Linked DNA regions of Macaca fascicularis. The protein of the gene in region 2 interacts with the protein of the main gene of each other region in a biochemical or structural test. Links are inferred from orthologs where the notes say so. Each region holds a gene or a part of one and is shown on either strand. Other genes may lie near its edges. The genes, in order: CSTA, CTSB and CSTB.

Evidence for each region.
Region 1: the proteins of CTSB (region 2) and CSTA form a complex in vitro, tested with the Homo sapiens proteins (3 studies listed by BioGRID and IntAct, with this or other methods). The link is inferred for Macaca fascicularis from reciprocal best matches to the Homo sapiens genes CTSB and CSTA.
Region 3: the proteins of CTSB (region 2) and CSTB form a complex in vitro, tested with the Homo sapiens proteins (2 studies listed by BioGRID). The link is inferred for Macaca fascicularis from reciprocal best matches to the Homo sapiens genes CTSB and CSTB.

What each region holds. Positions count from the first base shown.
Region 1 is NC_088376.1:160,915,197-160,924,785, reverse strand, and holds the start of CSTA (cystatin-A), read left to right. Parts: upstream 1-3,834; 5' UTR 3,835-3,883; coding exon 3,884-3,949; intron 3,950-9,589. UniProt on the Homo sapiens protein: This is an intracellular thiol proteinase inhibitor. Has an important role in desmosome-mediated cell-cell adhesion in the lower levels of the epidermis.
Region 2 is NC_088382.1:9,044,905-9,054,646, forward strand, and holds the start of CTSB (cathepsin B), read left to right. Parts: upstream 1-4,783; 5' UTR 4,784-4,847; intron 4,848-5,190; exon of another isoform or gene 5,191-6,398; intron 6,399-7,895; exon of another isoform or gene 7,896-7,987; intron 7,988-9,742. UniProt on the Homo sapiens protein: Thiol protease which is believed to participate in intracellular degradation and turnover of proteins. Cleaves matrix extracellular phosphoglycoprotein MEPE. Involved in the solubilization of cross-linked TG/thyroglobulin in the thyroid follicle lumen.
Region 3 is NC_088377.1:3,289,049-3,298,687, forward strand, and holds the start of CSTB (cystatin-B), read left to right. Parts: upstream 1-4,590; 5' UTR 4,591-4,629; coding exon 4,630-4,695; intron 4,696-9,639. UniProt on the Homo sapiens protein: This is an intracellular thiol proteinase inhibitor. Tightly binding reversible inhibitor of cathepsins L, H and B.

The DNA.
Region 1 (9,589 bases), on a different chromosome or scaffold from region 2:
TTTGTACTTGTTTAACCTGCATTTGAGGTTGTAAAGTTACAGGCATCTGAGCTGCTGTAAGAGGAGTTGGCCATCGTGGTTAGACTCTGATGGCTCTGCTAATTCTGGACCTTTTTCTTCTAATTTTAATGTTTCAGGATCTATCACCTCCTGTAATTGATTATCGCCAACATTTTGCATTGACCGAGCCATTACCGGCTTTGCTACACATTTACAATGTGAACTTTCTGTTCCTTTCCTGGATTCTATCCCTGCCTCTTTTTCACAATCTACTGCACAGCTTTCAGGGCCATTAGAAATTGAAACGCTATCTTCTTCTGTTTGAAACAGTTCTAAAGCTACTTTAATAATGACCCAATCATTCCATACTGTAAGTGGGATGATCTTACCTTCCCTACTTGCTTGTTTTAATTATTTGCCAATTTTTTCCCAGTCTTTTAGATCTAAAGTTCCCTGTTCCAGAAACCATGGGCAAAACTGTTCTATTGTTTGAAATAGCATAATTAGATTATTGGTAAGAGACTTTAACTCCCCCTCTTTTTAAGAGAATTTTAATAAAGCTGCGATAAGAGGCATATTTACTTTTAGTTTGCCCCATTGTTACCCTAGGTTCTTCCGAGCACACCAGCTTACCGCAAGGCTGACTGTAGACATACTCGGGAGTCTGTCGTTGACTTGTCCTCAATGACCACGCTCCAGCGTACCTTCACCTTAGAGAAAAGCACCCATGTCGGGCACCAGATGAAGGGGTGGCCTGCCCCTCCACACCTGTGGGCGTTTCTCGTTAGGTGGAATGAGAGACTTAAGAAAAGAAATGAGACACAGAGACAAAGTATAGAGAAAGAAAAAGTGGGCCCAGGGGACTGGCACTCAGCATACAGAGGACCCACGCGGGCACCAGTCTCTGAGTTCCCTCAGTATTTATTGATCATTACCTTTACCATCTTAGAAAAAGGGAAGTGGCAGGATAATAGGATCATCGTAGGGAGAAGGTCAACAGTAAGACATATGAATAAAGATCTCTGTGACATGAATAAGTTTAAGGAAAAGTGCTGTTCCTTGGTATGCATATGCAAACATCTCCATAAAACTTTTTAGTGCATAAAGAGCAACATTGCGGCTAGCACGTCCCACCTTCAGCCCTAAAGTGGTTTTCTCCTTTCTCAGTAAACAGAACATACAATCCGGTTTTACACCAAGATGTTCCATTGCCCAGGGATGGGCAGGAGACAGATGCTTTTCTCTATCTCAACTGTCAAGAGACCTTCTTTCCTCTTATGGACCTTTGGCAGTGTAGGTGTCCCTGGGTACTTGAGATTAAGAGAATGGTGATGACTTTTCACAAGCATACTGCCTTCAGGTACTTGTTTACCAAAGCCCAACCTGCACAGCCCAAAATCCGTTAAACCTTGAGTCACCACAGCACATGTCTCTTGCAAGGACAAGGTTGGGGGTAGGGTCACAGATTAACAGCATCTCAAATACAGAACAAAATGGAGTCTCTTATGTCTACTTCTTTCTATATAGACACAGTAACAGTCTGATCTCTTTTTCTTTTCCCCACAGTTACAGGAGGAATACAAAAGACAAAAGCAATATTTGCTTTGGGGAAGTTTTTACTTCTACAATAAATTATTGAGAATCAATAGGAAAGAGCTGAAAGTACAGGGCATAGACCCCAAAAAGAGAAGAGTAGACTTGCTTTTTATCATATCCCTTACCACTGGGGAGATTCAATAAGGATGGCCTGGACTAGGATGTAAGTGAACAACTAAAAATGGGCTGCAGGCTTGGAAAAATGTCAGGGGCCTAAATATGAAAGGACTTGACTTGGGGAGGTCACATGAAGATGAGTAGAACCAGTGGCCTATGAAAGCTGAGCCAAAATCTTCAGATGACCTGTGGCCTCTTGAGGGAGAACCTTGTCATCCACATTCGCTGTTCTTCTTAATCCACAGGGTAAAGGCATTCTGTGGAGAGATTACCTGTGTAGCGCCCCTTAGTTTAGCCCATAAGACACTCACCTAGCTCCAAGAATTTGCCAAGCACCTACCAAACATGATTATAAAGAAACAAGCACCTCCCTGTATTGTGATATAGAACAATCTCCAAAATATATTGTTAGGAATAAAACAAAAAGTGTAATCATTTATATAGAATACCATTTTTATAAAAGAAAACCTATATAGATGTATATTTATCTATGTGTATGTGCATGTGTGTGTAGCCAATTATTATTATTATTATTATTTTTTTTTTTTTTTGAGACACACTATTGCTCTGTTGCCAGGCTGGAGTGCAGCGGCACAATCTTGGCTTACTGCAACCTCTGCCTCCCAGGTTCAAGCAGTTCTTCTGCCTCAGCCTCCCGAGCAGCTGGGACTACAGGTTCATGCCACCATGCCCAGCTAATTTTTGTATTTTTGGTAGAGATGGAGTTTCACCATGTTGGCCAGGATGGTCTCAATCTCTTGACCTTGTGATCCACCTGCCTCGGCCTCCCAAAGTGCTGGGATTACAGGCGTGAGCCACCGTGCCCAGCCTCCAATTATTTTTATATTTGTATGTGTATAGAATGTCTCTGAAGGATACAGAAGAAGTTGGTGCCAATAGTTGTCTCTGGAAAGTATTCACTCATTAAGTGAGTGAATAATTCCTTATATTGTACAGCCTGGTTCCTTTCAAACATTTTTATCTTGTGTATGTATTATATATTCCCAAAATTGAATAATATAATATACATAAATATTCAGACAACGTGGTCATTTTGCTTCTAGATAAGTTGCCTGCAGAAGCACTCACTTACGTACAAAAGGGGAAAAAATGCAACATTGTTTGTAAGAATGAAACACTAGAAACAACCAAAATCATCATCAGTAGGGAAATGAGTATATAAAATATGAACTAGTATATAGCAGTTAGATAGGTAGACTAAATAGATAGGTCTAGCATAAAGTAGCATATCGCGGTTAAAGGAAATGAACAGGATTGATCCATCTGTGGATTGATCTATGTGTATATCAACATGGAAAGGCTCAAAAACATGTTGAAGAGAAAAAGGAGCATAACATAGAATATATTTAGCATACAATTTAAGTGAAATTTTAAAAACACACCAAGTAAACGTATAAAAATGACCTGGAAGGATATCAATTCACAATGTACTTTGCTTCTGGACAGCAAGGTTATGTGGAGTGTGGGGCTTCCTCCATATCTGTAATATTTTATTTCTTAAAAATAACTACCAAAATAAAAGATAGCAAGCAAACATGACAAAAAGGTTAAAAATTTTAACTCTGAGTGATAGAAATATAGATGTTTGTTATTTTATTCTTTGTGTTTTTTCTGTATGTTAAACATCTCCAGATATTTAAATAAGAGTAAAGAAGACACATCCAGCCCAGGTCCTCCAGATAGATCGGTTTGCTTTCTTTCTAAAGTCAAGTAAATTCTAAATTAACCTTGACATTATTAGTAAGTTTTGCTTTAAAAAAAATAAAATTTTGTGTTAGAAGTTTTAAAACATTTGGAAATTCTAGTTGTAGTTTCAGATTTCATAATTCAGATGATGCAACAGGATGGAACCATTGTCAAAGAGAATGCGGGGATGTTTGATGCTTGTTAGGACATGACTCCTATACTTGCCTGTTTGTTCATCCTCCAACCCCTCTTTCTTCCAAATTCCATGTAGCATATTCTGTCCAGGAAGCAAGAAGACTTGCTTGGAGGCATACTCATTTTCCCCATGCCTCTTTGCTATTTCTGGAAAATAAAGCATTCTATAGGCGGAGCTAGTGAATGCCTCTTTTAACACACGAGTCTCCACACTTCCCTATTCACTTTGGTTCCAGCATCCTGTCCAGCAAAGAAGCAATCAGCCAAAATGATACCTGGAGGCTTATCTGAGGCCAAACCCGCCACTCCAGAAATCCAGGAGATTGTTGATAAGGTGAGTTGATGCCATTCAGGAAAAAGTCTGAGCCAAAATCTTGATTCATAAGTTGTCCTGGTGGAAAGGATGTGGCTGAACATGAAAACTAGAAGTTTAGGATGTGTGTGACTTTGTTCAGGTTTCTTTACAACTAAGATGAAATAAGAGGTTTTCAGATGAAACCTCGAATAATCCCCAAACTGTGAGTGTGACCTTGAGTGAATCACATTTCTTCTCTGAACTTCATTTTCTCCATGTGTAAAAGAAGAATTTGTATTGTATCATCTCTAAAGCTCAATCCTAGATATGATTCTAGCATTACTAATTCAGTTTCTGATACAACTTTTCTAATCTCACCAAGTGAAGCCAACATGTAATTGAAGTGTAAGGTTATTAACAGTTTGATGAAGTAGTCTTGGAATGTACTGCAGGGAAATTTTTAAAAAATAGATTGAATGAAGAATAATATTGTAAAGGCAATCTATTTACAAATTTCATACACTTATGCCCAAATATACAGTGTTTTAGTCTTTTCAGAGTTAAAGGGTGATTCAGCTAATGGAGAAGAGAAGTGATAGTCTAAAGTGACTCCAAAATGTCAGAGGCTGCCAAATTATATACGGAAAAATAGAACTCAATGTTATTAGCGGATTGATATGTTTTTCTCTTTTTCTTTTTTGTTTTGTTTTTAAGAGATGGGGTCTCATTCTGTCACCCAGGCTGGAGTGCAATGGTGTGATCATGGCTCACTGTAGCCTCAACTTCTCCAGCTCAGGCGATCCTCCCCACTCAGCCTCCTGAGTAGCTGGGGTTACAGACTCATGCCACCATGCCTGGCTGATTTTGGGGGTTTTATTTTGTTTTTAGAGATGGAGTTTCATTCTGTTGCCAGACAGGTCTTGAATTCTTGGGCTCAAGCCATCTACTCACCTAGGCTTCCCAAAGTATTGGGGTTACAGGTGTGAGCTACCACACCCGGCCCTGATATATTTTTCTAAGTGTTGTGTGATTAGCTATCATCTAGCTATGCAGTAAACATTTAGTTGCATATTTTATGAAGGAAAACATGTACAAATTACCATTTTAGGTTTTTAGTTTGTTACCTTATTTTCTTGTATTATTCCTTCTTGTTTTTTCTCTCTGAAACATCATTCCATGACAGTGTGGAACACAAGATCAGCTTTTGTGTGATTATAAGAGTTGGGATCCTGTATATTCAGGGAACTAGAAAGCTCTCTAAGGGGCCAGATGCCTAGAATCCCATCACTCATTCTTGGGGACTAATTATTTCTCTTTCAAGCGTTCTTTTTAAAAATAAATATCTTGGAGCTTTTTTTCTGGGAGATGATATTAAGTCAGTAATTTCTTCATGTGAATCCGCAGATCAGATCCATGTTCTCAAACTTGAATGTGCACATGAATCACCTGCAGGTCTTGATAAACCTTAGATTCTGATTCAGGTGGCCTGGGGGAGGTCTGAGGTTCTGCATTTCTACCAGACTCCCAAGTGCTGCTGCTGCTGCCACCCATGGCCTCACTTGCCTGCAGAATCAGAGATGTATGGCATCCTACAAGGCCAGGGGGAGATGGCGCTTTAAAAGCCAGGGTGCAGGCTGGGTGTGGTGGTTCATGCCTATAATCCCAGCACTTTGGGAGGCTGAGGCGGTTGGATCACGAGGTCAGGAGTTCGAGACCAGCCTAGCCAACATGGTGAAACCCCGTCTGTACTAAAACTACAAAAAGTAGCTGGGAGTGGTGGCAGGTGCCTGTAATCCCAGCTACTCAGGAGGCTAAGGCAGGAGAATTACTCAAGCCTGGGATGCAGAGGTTGCAGTGAGCTGAGATAGTGCCACTGCACTCCAGTCTGGGCAACAAAGCAAGACCCTACCTCAAAAAAGAAAGTCAGGGTGCCAAAATAAAATTTGTCTATTTCATTTGAAAAATGAAGGTAACACCTCTTGCCCTACCGATGTCAGAGCTGTAAGGACTAAGTGAGAAAATGTGCATAAAAATAACTTGAAAATGAAAAACAAATGTGCATAGGTGAAGCATCACAATTGTTTGCTTCAAATTTGTGGCTGAAAGCATCCCTGATCCTAAAAAATCCCCCTGAGACTCTCTAAGGACCAGAGCTGTAGAAAGACAGGGAAAAATAAATTTGAAATAGAGACAGTACAGAAAATTTTAATGATTTTTTTAAAAATCTATCACTTGATTAGCAATAATTATTAATTTTTAAAATAAGAAGCTACCAGAGGGCCTTGCATTGTTAATAACACCTATCTGTGAGTCCCATTTTAAATTATAAAATTGATTTGAAAGTGTGTGTGTGGCAGAGAGGAAGCTGCTTCCCTTTGGCTCAAATGTCATCAGAGAGGTAGAATGAGAGATAAACATTAAGAACAGCTACCTCACCCCAGAAAGGAGCTTTGCAGTTTTAAAAAGCTTGACCTCCATTCAAACTCTGATTTCATCTTCATAACCCCTGGGGCAGGCAGGGAAGGTATTGTGTCTATCTTACAGATGATGAAACCAAGACTTAAAGAGATTAAGAGTCACTTAGTTAAGCTGGGCAAGGTGGCTCAAACCTGTAATCCCAGCACTTTGGGAGGCTGAGGCGGGCGGATCACCTGAGGTCAGGAGTTCAAGACCAGCCTGGCCAACATGGCGAAACTCTATCCCTATTGAAAATACAAAAATTAGGCGGCGTGGTGGCAGGTGCCTGTAATCCCAGCTACCCAGAGGCTGAGGCAGGAGAATCACTTGAACCTGGGAGGCGGAGGCTGCAGTGACCCAACATCGCAACATTGTACTCCAGCCTGGGCCACAGAACGAGACTCCCGTCTCAAAAAAAAAAAAAAAAGAGTCACCTAGTTAAGAAGTTAGCTCACCCCCAGTGTCTGACTGCCTGCACTCTCCACCACACAGTGGCAGAACACAGAGGAGCTTTGTTAGGAAAGGGAAATACACTGAGTGGAGAGAGTGTGTTAAGTTTGTCTTCTCAGTGGAAGCACCAGCCTCAAATTTAAGTCAATATAGGAGGCCAAGGCAGGCGGATCACCTGAGGTCAGGAGCTCAAGACCAGCCCGGTCAACATAGCGAAACCCGTCTCTACTAAAAATACAAAAATTAGCTGGGCATGGTGATGGGCGCCTGTAGTCCCCGCTACTCAGGAGGCTGAGGCAGGAGAATCGCTTGAACCCAGGAGGCGGAGGTTGGAGTGAGCCGAGATCGTGCCACTGCACTCCAGCCTGGATGACAGAACGAGACTCCATCTCAAAAAGTAAAAAAATCTTAAAATTTAAAAGTTAAAAAAAATTTTTTTTTAATCATTAGAGGGACAGGTGCGGTGGCTCACGGCTATAATCCCAGCACTTTAGGAGGCAGAGGCGGGCAGATTGCTTGATCTGGGGGATTCAAGGGCATCATGACAAAACTCTGTCTCTACCTCCTCGAAAATACAAAAAAAAAAAAAAAAATAGCCAGGTGGTACACACCTGTAGTCCCAGCTACTTGGGAGGCTTAGGTGAGACGATCACTTGCACCCAGGAAGTTGAGGATGCAGTGAGCCATGATCACGCCACCGCACTCCAGCCTGGCCAACAAAGTGAGACTTTGTCTAAAAAAAATACATAAATAAATAAATAAATATAGGAAATGAATATCAGTGAATCATTTCATGGTTGGTGCATTTCTTGTATATCTCCTAAGTGTCTAGCGTTATGCTAATTATTATAGAAGCTACATAAGGGCTGTAAAATATGGCCCCTGGCCTCTAGCAGTTTATACGGTAGTTGGGAAAAATCGAGATATCTGGAACAGTATATAAAACAATATCCAATTAAGTACTTTTTCATAATCATAGGTTTTGGACCAGAAAAGATGTTAGAGATTGCTGGTCAAACCTCCTTCCTTTCAGGTAAATAATTACTGTGAGGCAGTTCAGCTACTCCCGTGTTAAAGCCCGGATTATCACTTATCTGCCCTCTCTTGCAGGAGTGAGCCTTAGGGCACAATTTCCAGTTCAGTGTTAGAAGGTAGAGGAAGAGTTGGAAAACTCGTTGTAGTTTAGGAAGCACTTTCACATCATTTATATCATTTATGCCCCTACAAACAGCCCCAAGAGGCAAGTGTTATTACAACCACTTTATAGGTGAGAAACTTGAGTCAATTCCTTCTCCAAAATTACAGTAGGTCCCCATGCAGGAACAGGGAAAATGGGTAGGTGCTGGCAATTCAGGGACAATCTCCACTACCTGTCACTTACTTGCTAGTTTTACTTTTTGATTTTTGAATGTATTTCTGTTTTTTTCTTTTTTTTGAGACGGAGTCTCGCTCTGTCGCCCAGGCTGGAGTGCAGTGGCTGGATCTCAGCTCACTGCAAGCTCCGCCTCCCGGGTTCACGCCATTCTCCTGCCTCAGCCTCCCGAGTAGCTGGGACTACAGGCGCCCACCACCTCGCCCGGCTAGTTTTTTTTTGTTTTTTTGTTTTTTTTTTTGTATTTTTTAGTAGAGACGGGGTTTCACCGTGTTAGCCAGGATGGTCTCGATCTCCTGACCTCGTGATCCGCCTGTCTTGGCCTCCCAAAGTGCTGGGATTACAGGCGTGAGCCACCGCGCCTGGCCCTGTATTTGTGTTTTTTAAAATCACCTGTTAAAGTGCAAGTATTCTCAGAGGAGCTGAAGTTTATCAGCTTTCCTTGGCCTTCTCAGAGAGCTTCTTAGTGGAAGGCCAACTGAAGAACCCCATTAGAAGGAGAGAAAGAAGAAAAAGACATCACATAGAGAAGGGAAGAGTATCAAAGACAAATGTTAACTGCATGGTCAAGGAATTTGATATCACAGTGAAAGAGGAATATTGGATGAGGGCAGAAAGAAAAGAAAGGCAAACAAAGGGGATGGCAATTGAGAAAACTTGAAAGTTTTCGAAGGCAGGAGAAATGAGTTTTCCCATTCTGAAAATAACAGAGACTGAACATGTCATTGTAGCATCATGTACTAAAGTACACTTGGAAGAAAACCCTCTTCCAAGATTCTCTGTATTAGCTGAGGTCATTGCTATACTCATCTTTCCTATTTGGGAAGACAAGTTGTCAGGATGGAAAACAACTGTGGTCTTTTCATTCAGAAAACATTGGTTAGGTAGACAGAACTGTGTGAACTGCTATGGGGATAGCAGGGACATAAAATAGTGCCTGCCCTTGTGGAAATTTATAAAATAGAATGGATCTAAGAGGGACACATCCCAGAAAGACAGAGCCATACATAATCCCATTCATGAAAAGCCACAATCTGTATAATGAAGAACCAAATAAATGAATGGCCCAACAGCAAAAGCCTCCAGATCATTATTGCTGATTCATTATCTATATAATATGTTAATGAGCGTTTGATGAGAATTCTGAGCATGTTTATGAGAAGGAAAGAAATGTTATTTAATTATTTTTAGAAGGGTTATACATGCAATGTGCATGCACACAATGAACACACACACACACACACACACACACACACACACACACACACTCCCCTTAGTCATAAACCTAATTGCTAAATACTATTCCTGGCTAACACACAGAGCATGATTTTTGTTGGTCAGGACACCACACAAACACCTCATCTGCATACCATCCTGGGCACACCCTGGAACTTAGTATG
Region 2 (9,742 bases):
AGACAGAGGTTGCAGTGAGCCGACGTTGCACCACTTCACTCCAGCCTGGGTAACAGAGTGACACTCTGCCTCAAAAATTTTAAAAATGCCAAAGTGTTTCTTAAAACAAGGTGGCTGTACTCTCGTTCTCCCACCAACAACATATGAGAACTTCCACTGTACCACATACTTGCCAGCCTTTACTACTGTCAATGTTTTTTGTGAGACTAGAACCTCCAGCGTATCTGGCCGTGCGTATTAGAAAATGGGAGGGGCTTTGTGACCAGCGCACGCTGTATCTGTAAGCCATGTGGCTGGTGTCTCCTATAGAATCCAATTGAAATGTATTCCTCACAACACCATGTTCTGACACTGGGAGAGGGATGTAACTGTGGGATTAGGATCCAAGCAAGGATTTCGGGGCCTCATTTTTTTTTTTCTTCTCATCCTGGCTGTGAGGAGTAAAACGAGAGTGTTGGGAAAGGAGACCCCTGTGCAAGGGAATATTTAAACCTTTTCCCCAAGCCCGACAGGAAGCTCTGCTTCATGGTAGTTCCAAACCTGTGGGTTTAGGTGAATTGGGGGGTGTCAAGGGAGGTGAGAAATGCTCCTCCAAAGACACATTCCTTTCATCTGCTGGAGGTCGCAGGAGATCAATCCTTCAGGCTCATGAAAGGCCTGGAGGAAAAGTTTTGTTTTGTTTTTTTTTTTTTGAGATGGAGACTCAATCTGTCGCCCAGGCTGAAGTGTGGTGGCGCCATCTCAGCTCACTACCACCTCTGTTTCCTGGGTTTATGCAATTCCGCCTCAACCTCCCCAGGAGCTGGGACTACAGGCGTGCGCCACCACATTCAGCTAATTTTTGTATTCTTATAGAGATGCGGTTTCATCACGTTGGCCAGGCTGGTCTCAAACTCCTGGGCTCAAGCAATCCGCCCGCCTCGGCCTCCGGAAGTGCTGGGATTACAGGCGTGAGCCACTGCGCCTGGCCTATTTTAAACAGATTTGGGTAGGAAGGTTGGTCTGATCTTACAAGACCTTGAACTCGAAGCAAATTTGAACTAATGGGTTTAAGCACTAACTGGGAGGAAAGACAGGTTAGAGAGGATTCACTCTTACCAGGAGGCACTCTGTGGAGCCCGTACCTGGGAGAAAGAACTGGCCATCCCAAAACCGTCAGACTCCGATTGTCAACTACAGAAGAACCCACTGCATATCTACAGAGGCCATCCATTAAAAACCGTTCAGCACAGTCTCACTTCCCGGGATTTAGAAGCTGTTGGAGGTCAGAGGCCATCCGGTTCACAAGGGTTTGTAAAATAAAGGAGAACAAATCGGGCATTTGCTCAGAAAAGAGGCCTCTTAATAGGGTCTCATTTAGAGGGTGGGGTGCGAAGAGTTGTTTTCAGGACTTCCGAAATCAACTTTTTGTTTTTTAGTTTTTGTTTTTGTTTGTTTTTGGTAACAGCTTTACTGAGATAGAATTGACATAAATATTCACCCTTTAAAGTGCACAGTTTCATCATTTTTAGTATATTCACAGAGTTGTGCAATCATCATCACAAATCAATTTTAGAATATTCACGGCCGGGCGCGGTGGCGCACGCCTGTAATCCCAGCACTTTGGGAGGCCAAGGCAGGTGGATCACGACGCCAGGAGATTGAGACCAGCCTGGCCAACATGGTGAAACCTCATCTCTACTAAAAATACAAAAATTAGCTGGGCATGCTGGCGGGTGCCTGTAATCCCAGTTACTCAGGAGGCTGAGGCAGGAGAATTGCTTGAACCCGGGAGGCGGAGGTTGCAGTGAGGCGAGATCGTGCCACTGCACGCCAGCCTGGATGACAGAGCAAGACTGTCTCAAAAAAAAAAAAAAAAAAAAATTCATATTAGCCCCCAGAGAAACCCCACACCTTTTAGCTGTCACCTACCTAACCTCCCATGTGCACTCCCCCAGGCTAAAGGCAATTATGAATCTAGTTGCTATCTATAGATTTGCCTATTCTGAGGATTTCATGGAATCATACAACACGGGGTCCTTTGGGCCTAGCTTATTTTACTTAGCAAATGTTTTCAAGGTTTATCGATGCAGCGTGTGTCACTACTTCATTCCTTTTTACAACGGAATAATAATACTCCATTTGGTGCATTTATGACTGTTTATTCATGCAATGGTTTTTAATGGATGGACATTTGAGTTGTTTTCACCTTTTGGTTATTGTAAATAATGCTGCTATAAATATCTGGTGCAAGTTTATATATATATGTGTTATTAACTTTTGGTGTAGAGATGGGGGTCTCACTATGTTGCCCAAGCTGGTCTTGAACTCCTAGGCTCAAGCAATCCTCCCACCTCCGCCTCCCAAAGTGCTGGGATTACGGGCGTGAGCCCACTGTGCCTGGCGGATTTTTGTGAGGACATATGTTTTCATCTCTTTCAGGTGTTAACTTGGGTCTCTTTTACAGATGTTCAACAAGCAAACAGCTTTTACACATGTAAGTCAGGTCTCTCTGTAAGTTCTGAGAGCTGTTCCCCAGGCCCTGAACCCTGATCCCCAAATCTAGCAGGTTAAGCCAAAATTCTCCTCAACTTCAAGGCCTACTTCATTCATTACACATCCACTCAACGCACATTTCTCCATCCTCTGCTATGGGCCAGACAGGCTGCAATGTGCTGGGATGAAGCGGGGGAACAACACAGGTAAAAATCCTTGCCCAGGTGGCGCTTAAGATCCAGTGAGGGCAGGAAGGAACATACACAAGTAAATATGCTGTACGTTCCTTTCTCCGTGAAGCTTTCCTAGATGTCCCAGGAAGGGATGAATTCTACTCTGGTAGTCATTTATTTCTTTTATTTTCTTTGAGATAGAGTCTTGCCCAGGTTGGAATGCAATAGCGTGATCTCAGTTCACTACAACCTCTGACTCCCTGGTTCAAGGGATCCTCCTGCTTCGACCTCTTGAATAGTTGGGATTATGGGCATACGCCACCACACTCAGCTAATTTTTATATTTTTAGTAGAGACGAGGTTTCCACCATGTTGGTCAGGCTGGTCTTGAACTCCTGACCTCGTGATCCGCCCGCCTCAGCCTCCCAAAGTGCTGGGACTACAGGTCTAAGCCACCATGCCCAGCCTATTTCTTTTCTTTTCTTTCTTTCTTTTTTTTTCTTTTTTTTTTTTTTTTTTGAGAGGGAGTCTTGCCCAGGTTGGAGTACAATGGCGTGATCTTGGCTCACCGCAACCTCCACTTCCCAGGCTCCAGCAAATCTCCTGCCTCAGCCTCTCAAGTAGCTGGGATTACAGGCGCATGCACCACCACGCCCGGCCAATTTTTGTATTTTTAGTAGAGACTGGGTTTCACCATTTGGGCCAGGCTGGTCTGGAACTCGTGACCTCAGGTGATCTGCATGCCTCAGCCTCCCAAAGTGCTGAGATTACAGGCGTGAGCCACCACACGTAGCCTGTTTCTTTTGTTTCAAGAGTTATTTTTACCTCTCAAAAGTGATTTATGTGACACTGATAGAAAATTCCATCAAACAGCCATAATGCATATCAAGCACTCTGCTCTGCATACCTTCTGTCACACTCTAAGGATGCGAGAGGGGAAAGAGTTATGCTGGTTCTGGCTGTGTCCTCCCCATTTTGGCTATCTTATGAGCTCTTTATAGAGGTCTGAAATGATTTGACTTCCATATGGAAGACAGCATGCCCCAGCACTGATTTGGAGTCTGGAGTCCATGGCCCTCAGGATAGGGCTAGGGTGAGCAGGCAGTTGGGACCACCTTGACCTCCAGCCTTCTGGTCTTCAGTTCCTTGGGTATCCCACTCCGCTGGGGGCTTAGTGACCATGTTTGGGCTCCAGAGATTATTTTTTCCTTCCACTCCTATCCTTAGTCTGGTACTAACCAGGCGGGAATACAGGTATGACTCTGAAGACCCTGGCAGGCTCAGGGCTGTGTGACAGCTGACGACCCGGCTGCAGGGAGCCACGTCCCTTGGAGTCCTACTGCCTTTTTACTGTCGCCACAGCCTGGATAAAATACGATGATTCTTCTGAACTTTTTTTTTTTTTTTTTTAAGGCAGAGTTTCACTCTTGTTGCCCAGGCTGGAGTGCAATGGCATGATCTCGGGTCACCGCAACCTCCGCCTCCCGGGTTCAAGTGATTCTCCTGCCTCAGCCTTCCGCGCCACCACGCCCGGCTAATTTTGTATTTTTAGTAGAGCCGGAGTTTCTCCATGTTGGTCAGGCTGGTCTTGAACTCCCAACCTCAGGTGATCCGCCCGCCTCGGCCTCCCAAAGTGCTGGGATTACAGGCGTGAGCCACCGCGCCCAGCCTCTTTGAGCCTCTTGAATACAGGGGTCATGCCTGCCTTGCAGGTTTGTCTTTAGGATTAGAGCTGTTTGGGGAGGGTCTGGAGGAGGGTGTCTTGAGCCAACCCCAGCATCTCCCCTCCAGGCCCTCCCGCTAATAAACCCCAAGTAAATGTTCACTTTGTCAGTCCTCTCGGAGCAGGTCTCCCGGGACTCCTGTGCCAAGCCGATTTCCGCCCCCCAAGGTCCTTCTCCTCCTCTGTAGAAATCCTGACGCAGCTCCTAGGTTCCTTCGCGGTGACAGCCACCCTTTTCTATTTGTACGTAGCTGGAGTGTTTTGTGGGTACGTTCTCAGAACAACAAAGTGGAGCGTTTAAAGACTGTTCTGTAGGGTCCACAGCCTCGCCACCCCCAGCCCCTGCAGCGGCTTCTGATGAATGAAATAAGCGACGGCGCCCTCTCCCCCACCCCGCCCCCGCCAACCCGGCAGGCAGGGATCCCCGGCGCCGGTTCTGGCGGAAGCGGTCCCGCGAGGCGGGGGGACTTTTCTAGGTGGGGTGGGGGCTCTGGGACCACCTTTCGGGGCTTTTTCCCCATCCCCTGGCCCCAATTCGCAGCGTTTCGCCACCCAGGGCCCGCAGGGCTCCAAGCCCCTCTTCCCCAACCCGCGCGCTCAGGCCCCCGCCCTCCCCGGCGGTGTCCCCTGACCCCCGGCGGAAGGGGTGGGGGGGTGCGGGGCCGGGAAGAGGGGAGCGCGGGCGGCGGAAGGTGGCGGGAGGAGGTGGGGGCTGGGAAGCGGGGTGCGCGGGCAGCGGGAGGGCACGGGCGGGGCTGCGCGGTAGTCACGTGGCGCAGGACCGGGAGGGTACTTAGGGCCGGGGCTGGCCCAGGCTACGGCGGCTGCAGGGCTCCGGCAACGGCACCGGCTCCGCGGCGCGCAGGCTGGGCTGCAGACTCTCGGCGGCAGCGTTCGGTGAGTGCCGGGGGCGCGGGGTCACCGCGGCGGAAGTGACCTTGGCGGGGACGGTGCCACCGGCCGCCGAGACGGGTTCTTCTGCGTCCCCGGTCGGGCCTAGGCGCGGCCCCGCGGCGTTCCTGGGGGCAGGTGGGGAGCCAGGACCCTCGGGACTGACCCTGACTGGCGGGCTGGGGTGGGAGCCCGCGCACTCCGAAGCGTCGACAAGAAAAGCAGAAAACAGCCCCGCCGGCCCGCCCGCCAGCCCCCTCCCCTCTGCTCCCCTCCCCGGCCTGTGCGCGGGACCCCGGCCCCCGGAGCGGGGAGGCGGCCAGGAGCCCCGAGGGAGGCGCCTGCGAGGAAGAGCTCGGCTAGGTCCGGAGGCTGCTGCCTGGGGTCGCGCTCCCAGCGCCTGGGCCTCGGTGTCCCCGGGACAAACTGCCGAGATTATCGCATCTGCCGGCATCTATTTTCGGTTTATTTCCCCCTCGTTCCAAAGGATTTGCCTGGCCAACTTTCTGCGCAAGATCCCACACAATTCCTGGGACCCCAGAAGACAGGTCCTGTTGAACAGGGATCTGGCACTGGGTGGGCTGGGGAGGAACCCGCACGGAGTTAAATCCATAAACAGGAAGAGAAACCAAGCTGCGAAACCAAGAGGCGAATGGGCGATTGGATGCCGGGTGGGGAGAAGGCCAGGGACGCTCCCTGCCCCCTGGACTCCAGTAAAGGGAAGCCGGGCAGAGTCCCTGGGGCCCTACCTCCCCCTCGGTTAGTAGCCCTGGAGGCCGGGGGGAGTTGGCCTCTGGGGAGCAGTAGGTGCCTGGGTGTGGGGCGCTGCAGGCAGGCTGGGGTGGGTGACCCAGCTGGAAGTGAATTGCACTTGGCTTCTTGGTGGGCCTCTGTCACCCCCTTCCCCAGGCATCGAGGAAGCCAGCAGGCTGGCAAGGAAAAGGATCCTAGCGCAGGCCCTACACCCCTCCTCCTAACGGAGGAGAGACCCCCAAACCCACTGGAGAAGCGATGCTGTGGGGCTCAAAGGCAGACCTGGCACGTTTTTGTAGCCTAGAAAAACTGATCCCCACTGCCTCCCGCCGGAGGAGAGGATAGCTGAGATGCACCCTCTTTCAGTCCAAACGTTCAGGAAGGTAAGGCGAAGAGGCCTAAGAGGGCGTTGGCTTGGTTAAGGGCTGCTCTTTCTCTTCCATAACATCGGTTCTTTTTTTTTTTTTTTTTTTGAGATGGAGTCTCGCTCGGTCTCCCAGGCTGGAGTGCAGTGCCGCAATCTCGGCTCACTGTAACTTCCGCCTCCCAGATTCAAGCTATTCTCCTGCCTCAGCCTCCCGAGTAGCTGGGATTACAGGTGCCTGCCACCACACCCAGCTAATTTTTGCATTTTTAGTAGAGATGAGTTTTAACCATGTTGACCAGGCAGATCTCGAACTCCTGACCTCAGGTGATCTGCCTGCCGCGGCCTCCCCATGAGTCACCATGCCTGGCCTGGCGGAGAACTGTTTCTTCTTGGTGATGGTGACTTAGAACCCGCCAGCTCCTGGAGAAAGGGGCTGGGCCGCCCACCCTGTGTAGCTTTCCCAAAGACAGAGTCAGACGTCTCCTGGAGAGCAGAGGCTTCTCCTTTTTGGTCATTTGTCCCGGAGCTGGGGTATCCCCTGGTGGAAAGGCACAGGTCTCTTGGCCCAGGTGGCAACGCAGACCAGACACGGCCCTGGCACAGCTCTCGCCCCAACAGCTCTCCTGGATGTTGGCTCAGGACAGCCCTGTTGTCAACTGGTCAGGCGGCGAGGGGTGGCAGCCCTTTGGCTCCAGGTTGAAGCGGCCCATGTGGTGCTGATTTAGCAGTTTGGTGAGGCTCTTCTCCTAGGCAGCTTCTTTTCTTTCCCTAGCTGCGGGACCTGGGAGTTGGAAGATAAGTTGCACCCATTTTAGGGGTAACAGATATTTTCTGTTGCTCTTGGTTGGATTGGGAAATGAAGGGAGATCACGTTTCAGGGGTGCCTTGGGATGTCTGTCGGTGATGCTCTCTTTCTTTCTTTCTTTTTTTTTTTAAGACAGACTTTCCCTCTGTCGCCCAGGCTGGAGTGCAGTGGTGCACCCTCCACCTCCCAGGTTCAAGCAATTCTCCTGTCTCAGCCTCCCAAGTAGCTGGGATTGCCGGTGCCCATCACCACACCTGGCATTTTAAAAAATTATTTTTAGTAGAGACGGGGTTTCACCATGTTAGCCAGGCTGGTTTTCTAACTCCCACCTCAGGTGATCCGCCTCAGCCTCCCAAAGTGGTAGGATTACAGGTGTGAGCCACCACGCCGGGGTGGGGGTGATTTTCTTAAATCTGTTAATGAGTTATGGTTGTGTAGAATAATATACCTTCCTTTCGAGATATGGACTGAAACATTGAGAGGGAGGAGTTACAGGTATGCCACTTCTTATCCTTTTCTCTTTTTTTTTTTTTTTTTTTTTGAGGCGGAGTCTCACTCTCTCACCCAGGCTGGAGTGCAGTGGCAAGATCTCAATTCACTGCAGCCTCCGCTTCCTGTGTTCAAGCAATTCTCCTGCCTCAGCCTCTTGAGTAGCTGTGATTACAGGCATGCGCCTCCACACCCAGCTAATTTTTGTATTTTTAGTAGAGATGGGAGTTTCGCCACGTTGGCCAGGCTGGTCTGGAACTCCTGACCTTGTGATCTGCCCACCTCGGCCTCCTAAAGTGCTGGGATTACAGGTATGAGCCACTGCGCCCGGTCTGCTGCCTCTTTTTGATGGCCTGGTGTAAGGAAATTATTGGAAAAATGTGCTGTTGAGTGATATTTACTGGGCACTTCCACATGGTACATGTAAAGGGAGATGGTTGGGGTGGCAGGCAGTTGAGTCTAGGGGAGGCATGTACAGATGTGTTGTGCCTCTGGGACATCAGGGTGGCAGGCAGCAGTCTCTATGTCTGGTCCCAGGCTGCCTGAGAAAGAGTGTGTGGGAGGCAAACCTTGCGCCCTGGCATAGTTGTTAAAGTTTATATTTACCCTAGCTTGTGTGGGGTAGGAGGTTTAGGGATCAAATTTCACTCTGTGTTTAGACTTTTTTTTTTTTTTTTTTTTTTTGAGACAGAGTCTCACTCTGTCACCCAGGCTGGAGTGCTGTGGCACAATCTCCCAGGTTCAAGCAGTGCTCCTGCCTCAGCCTCCCGAGTAGCTGGGATTACAGGCATGCACCACCACGCCTGGCTAATTTTTGTATTTGTAGTAGAGACAGGGTTTCACCATGTTGGCCAGGCTGGTCTTGAACTCCTGACCTCAAGTGATCCCCTGCCTTGGCCTCCCAAAGTGTTGGGATTACAGGCGTGAGCCACTGTGCCCAGCCCTGTGTTTAGACTTTTAACTAATCTCGTTTTTAGCTTCAAGCCTTATCCTCCGCCTCTACAGACCACTCCTGTGCCTGTTTACTGGTTCTTCCAGGGGCCATTTTATTCCCTGTCTGCTGCTACTCATTTGAATTCTCCTGCACATTTTTTTGTTCATTCATTCATTCATTCATTCATTCATTTATTGTTTGGTTCATGGCAGGGTCTTGCTTTGTCTCCCAGGCTGGTGTGCAGTGGTGCGACCATGGCTTACAGCAGCCTCGGCCACCCAGACTTAAGCGATATGGTTCCCACCTCAGCCTCCCAAGTAGTAACTAACTGGGAGCACAGGCGGTACCCAGCTTTTTTTTTTTTTCTTTGTAGAGACAGGCTCTCTCTGTTGCCAGGGCTGCTCTGAAACTCCTGGTTTCAGGTGATCCCCTTACCTCCTCCCACTTGGGCCTTCCAAATGCTGGGATTATAAGGCGTGAGCCAACTCCAGGCCTTTTTGTACTTTTAAAACTCTGCATCAGTGTATAAACAACGTTTAAGGGCCGGGCGCGGTGGCTCAAGCCTGTAATCCCAGCACTTTGGGAGGCCGAGACGGGCGGATCACGAGGTCAGGAGATCGAGACCATCCTGGCTAACACAGTGAAACCCCGTCTCTACTAAAAAAAATACAAAAACTTAGCCGGGCGAGGTGGCAGGCGCCTGTAGTCCCAGCTACTCGGGAGGCTGAGGCAGGAGAATGGCGTAAACCCGGGAGGCGGAGCTTGCAGTGAGCTGAGATCCGGCCACTGCACTCCAGCCTGGGTGACAGAGCGAGACTCCGTCTCAAAAAAAAAAAAATAAAAATAAAAAAAAAATAAACAACGTTTAAGTTTATATGACTTCAGTTCCATTACATGGTTCCTTTTTCACTCACGGTTGTGAGATTTATTTCTGTTGATACATCCAATTCTAGTCCATTTGTCTTAAGTGCCCAGTGTGTTTATCTACTGAGGGACAGTTATATTATTTCGTTTTCACTATCATCCCCTGCTACAGTAAATATCCTGTCTCCCAGATGCTTGGAAGAGTTTCTGCAGGGCAAATGCAGGAGAGCTTGTTCTGGGTCCTGAGGTGTGTTCATCTTCCGTCTTG
Region 3 (9,639 bases), on a different chromosome or scaffold from region 2:
CTTTGGGAGGCCGAGGTGGAACTGCCCAACAGGTTCTTCCAGCCTGCTGTACAAAGGCGATGGCATTGCAGTAAAGAAAGTTAATTGCCGGGTGTGGTGGCTCACGCCTGTAATCCCAGCACTTTGGGAGGCCGAGGGGGGTTCATCACCTGAGGTCAGGAGTTTGAGACCAGCCTGACCAACACGGTGAAACCTCGTCTCTACTAAAAATACAAAAATTAGCTGGGCGTGGTGATGCATGCCTGTAATCCCAGCTACTCGGGAGACTGAGGCAGGAGAATCGCTCGAACCTGGGAGGCGGAAGTTGCAGTGAGCCAAGATTGCGCCACTGCACTCTAGCCTGGGAGACAGAGGGAGACTCTGTCTCAGAAAAATAAAATGAATTGATGTGAGGCTGGCCATGCCACAAGGGAGATGGAGTGGTTACTCAAATCAATCTCATCGCAGGCCTGAGGGTTAGGGTTTTTCAAAGGTAGTTTGGGGGAAGGGGTTGGGGTGGCTAGGCAATGGGTGCTTGCTGCTGGCCGAGTGGGTCAGAGATGAAATCATGGGAAGCTGTCCTCTTGCACTGAGTTGCTTCTGGGGAGGGGCCACAGGAGCCACGGTCAGAACAGGTTCTGGACCGAGTTATAACTGAGCATTCAGCAGAAATAGAGTTACAGGCCGGGTGTGGTGGCTCATGCCTTTAATCCCAACACTTTCGGAAGCCGAGGCGGGTGGATCACCTGAGGTCAGGAGTTCATAGACCAGCCTGGCCAACATAGTGAAACCCCGTCTCTATACAAAAATTACCTGGGCATGGTGGCACCTGTAATCCCAGCTACTTGGGAGTCTGAGGCAGGAGAATTGCTTGCACCTGGGAGGCAATGGTTGCAGCAGTGAGCCAAGATCACGCCACTGCACTCCAGCCTGGATAACAGCGAGACTCTGAAGAAAGAAAGAAAGAAAGAGACAGAGAGAGAGAAAGAGAGGAGGCGGGGAGGCAGGGAGAGAGGGAAGGAGGGGATAAGCAGGGAGAGAGGGAAGGAGGGGGGAGGCAGGGAGAGAGGAAAGGAGCGGGGAGGCAGGGAGACAGGGAAGGAGCGGGGAGGCAGGGAGACAGGGAAGGAGGGGGGAGGCAGGGAGAGAGGGAAGGAGGGGGAGGCAGGAGGGGAGAGGCAGGAAGAGAGGGAAGGAGGGGGAAGGCAGGGAGAGAGGGAAGGAGTGGGGAAGGCAGTGAGAGAGGGAAGGAGCGGGAGGCAGGGAGAGAGGGAAGGAGGGGGGAGAAAGGGAGAGAGGGAAGGAGGGGGAGGCAGGAGGGGGGAGGCAGGGAGAGAAGGATGACTGAGTGTTCGTTAGGCTACACTTTAGCCCACTTCCTTCTGAGAGTCACGTAGCACTAGTGACCATCTGCACTCCCACTGTTCCTACAGATGGAATCTCTGACTTCAGAATCATGAGACTTTTGTTCTTTTGTTTAAGAACTCCTGGCCGGGCGCGGTGGCTCAAGACTGTAATCCCAGCACTTTGGGAGGCCGAGACGGGCGGATCACGAGGTCAGGAGATCGAGACCATCCTGGCTAACACAGTGAAACCCCGCCTCTACTAAAAAATACAAAAAACTAGCCGGGCAAGGTGGCGGGCACCTGTAGTCCCAGCTACTCGGGAGACTGAGGCAGGAGAATGGCGTGAACCCGGGAGGCGGAGCTTGCAGTGAGCTGAGATCCGGCCACTGCACTCCAGCCTGGGTGACAGAGCGAGACTCCGTCTCAAAAAAAAAAAAAAAAAAAAAAGATGTTTCAGATCCTTAATTCCAGGCCAACCAGCTTGAAGAGCCCCACAGAGGAAGTGAACCAGCATGAAAACACAGCTTCTTCAACCCCACCCCATGACTTCACCCTGCACGCCTCCACCCATCAGCGGCCCCCGCCCTCAGCCCACTCCAAATCCCTAAAAGTCCCCAGCCCCATACTCCTCAGGGAGGTGGATTTGAGGTCTCCTCTCAGTTACAGCCTTGTGGTCCAAACTGTCTGCTGCAAACCCTGGGTGGCAGTGTGCTGACTTCCCACACCCTGGGCAAGAGACCTGTCGTGGTCACACTCCTAGTGAGCCCCTCTTCCGGCTCCCAGGCCACAGCCTCCCTTAGGTGCACCTGAGCCTCCCCTTCCCATTCCAGGCTCTTCCCTGGCCCTGCCTCCGCCTGCTGAGGAATCTCGGTCAACACAAGAGAGGATGGCGACTCCCTTGTACAGCAAGCCCTGAATAAATGACCTTTTGTTCTCATGTGCGTGGGCTCTGTTTATTTCCACAGCTGTTATCCTCCTATTTGTACAATGGAGGCACCTAGGACCCAGTTCCAGCCTGGAGAGTGAGGATCCGACTCCAGGAGGCACCTCAGGACCAAAGGCCTCAAGGCCAACACCTTCCACAGCACAAGCCCCACAGAGCCGCAGGACCTGTACAGGCAGCGGACATCCCTTTCTCTTGACCATTTTTTCCTCTGATGCTTTGTTTTCCACATAGAAGAGTTTTCCATGTTCGTGGGGTCAAATCTGCCTTCACTCATTCAACAATGATGCAGGTCTCTGCCCAGCTCCCCCCAGGCTTCAACCACACCTGACTGCCTGAAGTGACAGACCAGGCTGTGCCCTGGCAGGTAAGGGAAAGGCCCCCACAACTCATTCATGGGCTGCTCCTGCTTGGGCCTTCTACCAAGGAGCGGACCAGTCCCCCTGAGGGACAGCCCTTGGGTGGGGTGTCTGGTCATTTTGAAGAGCCAGTCACACCAATAGGTGCCTAGCACAGGCCCCACCCCCACCCCAAATAAGGCAAGCGACCCCTCCCTTTCCCAGGTGGTCCAGTCTAACACAAATCGTAAACCAAAGGGCCTGTGTGGTGGCTCAAGCCTGTCATCCCAGCACTTCGGGGGATGGATCGATTTTAGCCTAGGAGTTCAAGACCAGCCTGGGCAACATAGTGAGACTCCATCTCTACAAAAACAGTTTTTAAAGAAATTAGGGGTGCAGGCCAGGCACAGTGGCTCATGCCTGTAATCCCAGCACTTTGGGAGGTCGAGGCAGGTGGATCACGAGGTCAGGAGATGGAGATCATCCTGGTTAACACAGTGAAACCCCGTCTCTACTAAAAATACAAAAACTTAGCCAGGCGTGGTTGTGGGCGTCTGTAGTCCCAGCTACTCAGGAGGCTGAGGCAGGAGAATGGCATGAACCCAGGAGGCAGAGCTTTCAGTGAGCCGAGACCGTGCCACTGCACTCCAGCCTCGGCGACAGAGCAAGACTCCGTCTCAAAAAAAAAAAAAAATTAGGGGTGTAGTGGCTCATGCCACTAATCCCAGCACTTTGAGAGGCCGAGGTGGACAGATCGCTCGGAAGTTCCAGACCAGTCTGGGAAACATGGTGAAACTCTCTGTATATGCGTGTGGTAGGGTGAGCCTGTTACTATAGCAGCTGAGGTGGGAAGATCGATTGAGCCCAGGAGGTCCAGGCTGCAGTGAGTTGTGATCAGGCCACTGTACCCCAGCCTGTCCAACAGAGCAAGACCCTGCCTAAATTAAAAAAAAAAAAAAGAACGAAAGAAAGAAAAAAAAAAAAGAGGTCAGGCTCGGTGACTCATGCTTGTAATCCCAGTACTTTGGGAGCCCAAGGCGGGTGGATCATGAGGTCAGGGTTCGAGACCATCCTGGCCAATATGGGGAAACCCCGTCTCTACAAAAAACACAAACATTAGCCGGGCGTGGTGGCGCGCTCCTGAAATCGCAGCTACTGGGGAGGCTGAGGCAGGAGGAACGCTTGAACCCGGGAGGTGGAGATTAGAGTGAGCCGAGATTGAGCCACTGCACTCCAGCCTGGGCGACGGAGCGAGACTCTGTCTCAAAAAGAAAAAAAAAAGAAAAAAGAAAAAAAAAAAAAAAGAAAAGGAAAAGAAAAAAGAAAAGAAATCCTAAAACTCAAATTCCAATTCCACCAGAGAACCCTGCCTTCTTCTCATCCCTCTGATCTAACCCCTGCCCCCACCCAGCCTGGGGCGCATGGGCGCGTCTCCTCCTCCCTGGGCCTCTCTGTCCACCCGCTTCAGCCTTCAGTGTCCTGGGTCACAAGCGGTGATGTCCACAGCAGCCAGCACACCTGCTTCCGCAGGGCCGGAACCCCTGACCCCTGTAGCGCTGCGCCCACCCCACCCGTGCCCTCCCTCGTGCGCGGCCCGGACCCCGCCACACTGCAGGACGGCTCCCCCTCCGACTGCCCCTCCCTATGGTCCCACCCTGCGCGCCCAACCCACCGGCGACACCCGGCCGCGCCCCCGCCCCAGTCCTTGTGACTCGGCGCCTGGAAAGACCACACCAACCCCGGGAGGGGGGCGCTGCTTCCCGACACCGGCCCTGGGCGCGGAGACGGAGCCCGCGGAGCGTGGTAGCCAGGCTCCCAGCCCCGCGCCTTCCCTGCGCCCCGCCCCGCGCGCCCCTTATTGCGGGGCCACCGCGACCCCGCAGGGGACGCCCAAGCCAAGGTCCCCCCTCCCCGCGCCTTGGTTCCGCCCGCGTGTCACGTGACCGCAGCGCCTACTTGAGCAGAGGAGCCGCCGCGTCCCGTCGCCGAGTCCCCTCGCCAGGTTCCCTCCGACGCCGCCAAGATGATGTGCGGGGCGCCCTCCGCCGTGCAGCCGGCCACCGCCGAGACCCAGGACATCGCCGACCAGGTGGGTGGGCCCCGGGGACGGGGCCGGCCCGGGGTCCCGCCTGAGCCTCAGGGCGAGGCCGCGGCTCCTGGAGCGGGAGAAGCCACTTCGGCCCCGCTGCGCACCTGGGCGGGCGGGTTCGGTCCTGGACCCCCGGGCTGGCCGGGCTGTGGCCGTGAGAGGCCTCCCTCCGCTCGGGCGCTGCGTGCGAGTGTGCAGGGGAGGGGGCCGCGCCTGGGTCGGCGCTGGGGAGACACTGGGCTCCGCTGAATACAGCAAGGGCGAGTGGCAACTGATAGCCCCGGAGCAGGGTGCGGTCCCTGGATGGACAATCCCTGAGGGGAAACCCCAGGCATGAGGCGCTTCAGGTGATCGGGCGTCGCCGGCGATGGCGCAGGTGAGCAGCCGGCTCCAAACTTCACGGTGACCCGATAGCAAGCGGGTGGGGAGGGTCTGGCCAAACGGACTTAGCCAGGCTTCTTGCTAAAATTGGATTTTACAAGGAAGTGCGCAGGTGGCCTAGGCGCTTCAGGAGCCCGACTACAGTTTGGCCAAGCAAGAATCTTTGTCAGTATCTTCAACTAGTTCAGGCAAATATCATGAGAGAGTGCAAGAGGTCCCCAGCGATAAGGCACATGGGTTAAAAACTTAAGCGTATCTGCACAAAGGGTCTACAGGTTTCTTTACACGCTTCTGATTCTAACACTGTTTCAAACTGTAAGTCTAAATAAAAAGCTAAAACACACAAAAAAACAAGATAAAAACCGGGCTGGGTTGCAGAGGGCAACCTTCCCTGTGCCTCGGTTTCCTCGTCTGTAAAATGGACGTCCTGTTGCTTTGCACCTTCCAGAGGATTCTAGAGGGGCTTCAGTGAGCAGGTCCTCTGCAGGAAGCCCCTCCGGTGGAGCACAGGCCGGGCCCGCCTCCCTGTCATAGTTGGTGACCAAGTGGATGCCCCAAGCAGGAACAGGTCCAGGCGATGCTGAGGCCTGGGTTTTTTGTTTTTTGTTTTTGAGACGGAGTCTCACCCTGTTGCCCAGACTGGAGTGCGGTGGCGCAATCTGGGCTCCCTGCAACCTCCACTTCCCAGGTTCAAGAGATTCTCCTGCCTTAGCCTCCTGAGTAGCTGGGATTACAGGCATGCACCATCATGCCCGGCTAATTTTTGTATTGTTAGTAGAAACGGGGTTTCACCAGATTGGCCAGGCTAGTCTTGAACTCCTGACCTCAAGTAATCTGCCCGCCTCAGCCTCCCAAAGTGCTGAGATTACAGGTGTGAGCCACCATGCCCAGCCGAGGCCTGTTTTTGTTTTGTTTTTGTTTTCTTTGAGACAGAGTCTCGGTCTGTTGCCTAGGCTGGAGTGCAGTGGCATGATCTCAGCTCACTGCAACCTCTGCCTCCTGGGTTCAAGCTATTCTCTTGCCTCAGCCTCCCAAGTAGCTGGGATTACAGGCGCCCGCCACCTCACCCGGCTAGTTTTTTGTATTTTTAGTAGAGACGGGGTTTCGCCATGTTGGCCAGGCTGGTCTGGCCTGTGTTTTGAGTAAGGAGAGGAAAAAGGAAACAAATTTCTTTTCCTTTATTTTTATTTATTTATTTATTGACACAGGGTCTTGTTCTGTCACCCAGGCTGGAATGCAGTGGCACAGCCTTGACCTCCCGGGTTCAAGCGATTCTCCTGCCTCAGCCTCCTGAGTAGCTGGGACTACAGGTGCACGCCACCACGCCTGGCTAATTTTTGTATTTTTAGTAGAGACGGGGTTTCACCATGTTGCCAGGCTAGTCTCAAATTCCTGGGCTCAAGCGGCCCTCCAGCTTCACCCTTCCACAGTGCTGGGATTGCGGGGGTGAGCCCCGCCCAGCCTTCTTTCTCACTGGGACTGCAGGCGTGAGCCCTGCCCAGCCTTCTTTCTCCTTTTATCTTTCCTCCCCTCTGCTGCTTCCTGAATGTGATCAGCCCACAGCCTCATCACTCAAGGGTTTTTGACCATCTGACTGCAGGAAGAAGGGCAGAATGAGTCAGTCTCATGACACCTTTGGAAATGAGGCATTTTTGTCCGGCCGGTGCCTGCCCAGGCTGCTTGTGGGAGCCGCACCTGGAAAAGTGGTTCCTCTCCCCGACAGCCACTCATAGAAGCCTACCCAGCTCTTCCTTACCCGTTTCCTGGCTTTCCAGGCCTAAGACATCCCGCATTGTCACCCACTCTGAACTTCGAATGAGTTCTTGTTGCAGCCAGGAGAAAAGAGTCCCTGTCTCAAAAGTGACCTGAGTGGGCCCAGCCATGGCTACTGGGAGGGGCGTTAAGGCAGGCGTATGAACCAGGCAGCCCATTTGCCGGGTGGTCTCTAAGGAAGGGCGGGAGGGAGGGGCAGGGGCGCTTCCTGGACACCCCCTAGTCGGGCCCTGTCTTACCGACTCCTTATGGGAGCGCTCGAGCTGAGTGTTCCTATCATACTTTGCAGACAAGGAAGGTGGAGACCAGAGCCTGACTTGAGCCCTAAGGCCAGCAGAGTTCCTCATTCTGTGCCACTGCATGGGGGACCCTCCCCCAGAGCCACCCCTGCGCCTTCGCAGCCCGTCTGCCCCACTGTCGACACCCCCAACACAGGTGACTGGTCGGTCACTTGCGGCTTTCTAACTCATCCTGCCTTTCAGGGCTCCCCCGGTGAGAGGCCGGCCCCTGCTGCTCCCTGTCAGCGGCGTCAGTGCCCACGTCAGTGCCCACGCTGCACAGGTGGCCTGGCCTGGAACCAGCACCTCCACGGTGCACAGCCTCCTCCACAGCCTCCTGGGGGTTTCCCTGCCATGCCCTGCAGACTTTGCTGCTCCTGCTCCCGAAACAGCAAAGAGAGGGGCCAGTGCTCATCCTCCCATGCCCTAGGGCGGGTCTGTGGGCGAGACACAACCTGAGCCCTCAGTGACTGGGGGTGAGGGCTGCCACACTGGTGTGTCCCCGCAAGCCCACTGGACATTGCTGGGAGAGGGGCACACAGCTTGGTCTCCAGACACAGGTAGCCACTGTGCCCATGCAGCGAGAAGCATGGCGGCCTTGAGCAGAGAACATGGGGGGCAGGAGGGCACCTTCCCTTCCCCACCTCCCCAGCCTTTCCTGCCAGGGCCCCAGGCCTCTCTTCTCCAGCCTGTCCCAGCAAAGGCCCTCCCTGGCGCTGGGAGGTGGTGGGGCCTTGGGCCAGGTTGCCCTGGTGGCTCCGCTACCGGTAATACTGGGTGACTCCCTTTCTTTCCCAACTGGTGTGCTTCCTGCCACTTCCTTTTTGTTTGTTTGTTTTGAGATGGAGTCTTGCTCTCTTGCCAGGCTGGAGTGCAGTGGTGCGATCTCAGCGATCACTGCAACCTCCACCCCCCAGGTTCAAGCGATTCCCCTGCCTCAGCCTCCTGAGTAGCTGGGGCTACAGGCGTGCGCCACCACGCCCAGCTAATTTTTTGTGTTTTAGCAGAGACGGGGTTTCACCGTGTTGGCCAGGATGGTCTTGATCTCCTGACCTCGTGATCCACCTGCCTCAACCTCCCAAAGTGCTGAGATTACAGGCGTGAGCCACTGTGCCCGGCCTGTTTTTTTTTTTTTTAAACTAAACCCCTAATTCTCTGGGACCGGCTTCGTCACTCCGGTACACTCTTGTGCTTACCCGTTAACCTAGGCAGCAGCCAGAGCACTTTTTTTTTTTTTGAGACAGGGTCCCACCATATCTCCCAGGCTGGGCTGCAGTGGTGCAGTCATCGCTCACGGTAACCTCGGACTCCAGGACCCCAGCGATCCACCTCAGCCTCTCCAGTAGCTAGGATCACAGACGCATGCCACCACATCTGGCTGATGTTATTTATTTATTTATTTTTTTATTTTATTTTTTTTGAGACGGAGACTTGCTCTGTCTCCCAGGCTGGAGTGCAGTGGCAGGATCTCGACTCACTGCAAGCTCCGCCTCCCAGGTTCACGCCATTCTCCTGCCTCAGCCTCCCGTGTAGCTGGGACTATAGGCGCCCGCCACCGCGCCTGGCTAGTTTTTGTATGTTATTTATTTTTTAGAGATGGAGTCTCCAACTCCAGGGCTCAAGCAATCCTCTGGCGTTGGCCTCCCAAAGTTTTGGTATCACAGACAGAAACCACTGTGCCTGACCCCAGAGTACTTTTAAACTACGTTAGATTTAATTGTTTTTTTTTTTTTTTTTTTGAGATGGAGTCTCACTCTGTTGTCCAGGTTGGAGTGCAGTGTCGCAGTCTCAGCTCACTGCAACCTCTGCCTCTTGGGTTCAAGCGATTCTCCTGCATCAGCCTCTCAAGTAGCTGGTACTACAGGTGTGAGCCAGCACACCCAGCTAATTTTTATATTTTTAGTAGAGATGGAGTTTTGCCACATGGGCAGGGGTGGTCTCGAACTCCTGACTTCAAGTGATCCGCGTCCTGGGCCTCTCAAAGTGGTGGGATTACAGGTGTGAGCCACCACACCTGGCCTTTTTCTTTGAGACAGAGTCTCACCGTGTCACCCAGGCTGGAGTGCAGTGGTGTGGTCTCAGCTCACTGCAACCTCTGCTTCTGGGGTTCAAGTGATTCTTCTGCCTCAGCCTCCCAAGTAGCAGGGACTACAGGCACCCGCCACCACACCCTGCTAATTTTCCTATATTTAGTAGAGACAGGGTTTCGCCATGTTGGCCATGCTGGTCTCGAACTCTTGACCTCAAGTGATCCACCCACCTCAGCTTCCCAAAATGCTGAGATTACAGGCATGAGCCACCCTGCCTGGCCCAATTTAATTTTCTTTTTTTAGATGGAGTTTTGCTCTTGTTGCCCAGGCCGGAGTACAGTGGCTTGATCTCGGCTCACTGCAGCCTCCGCCTCCCAGGTTCAAGTGATTCTCTTGCCTCAGCCTCGCGAGTAGCCGGGATTACAGGTGCTCACCACCACGCCCAGCTAATTTTTGTATTTTTAGTAGAAACGGGATTTCAC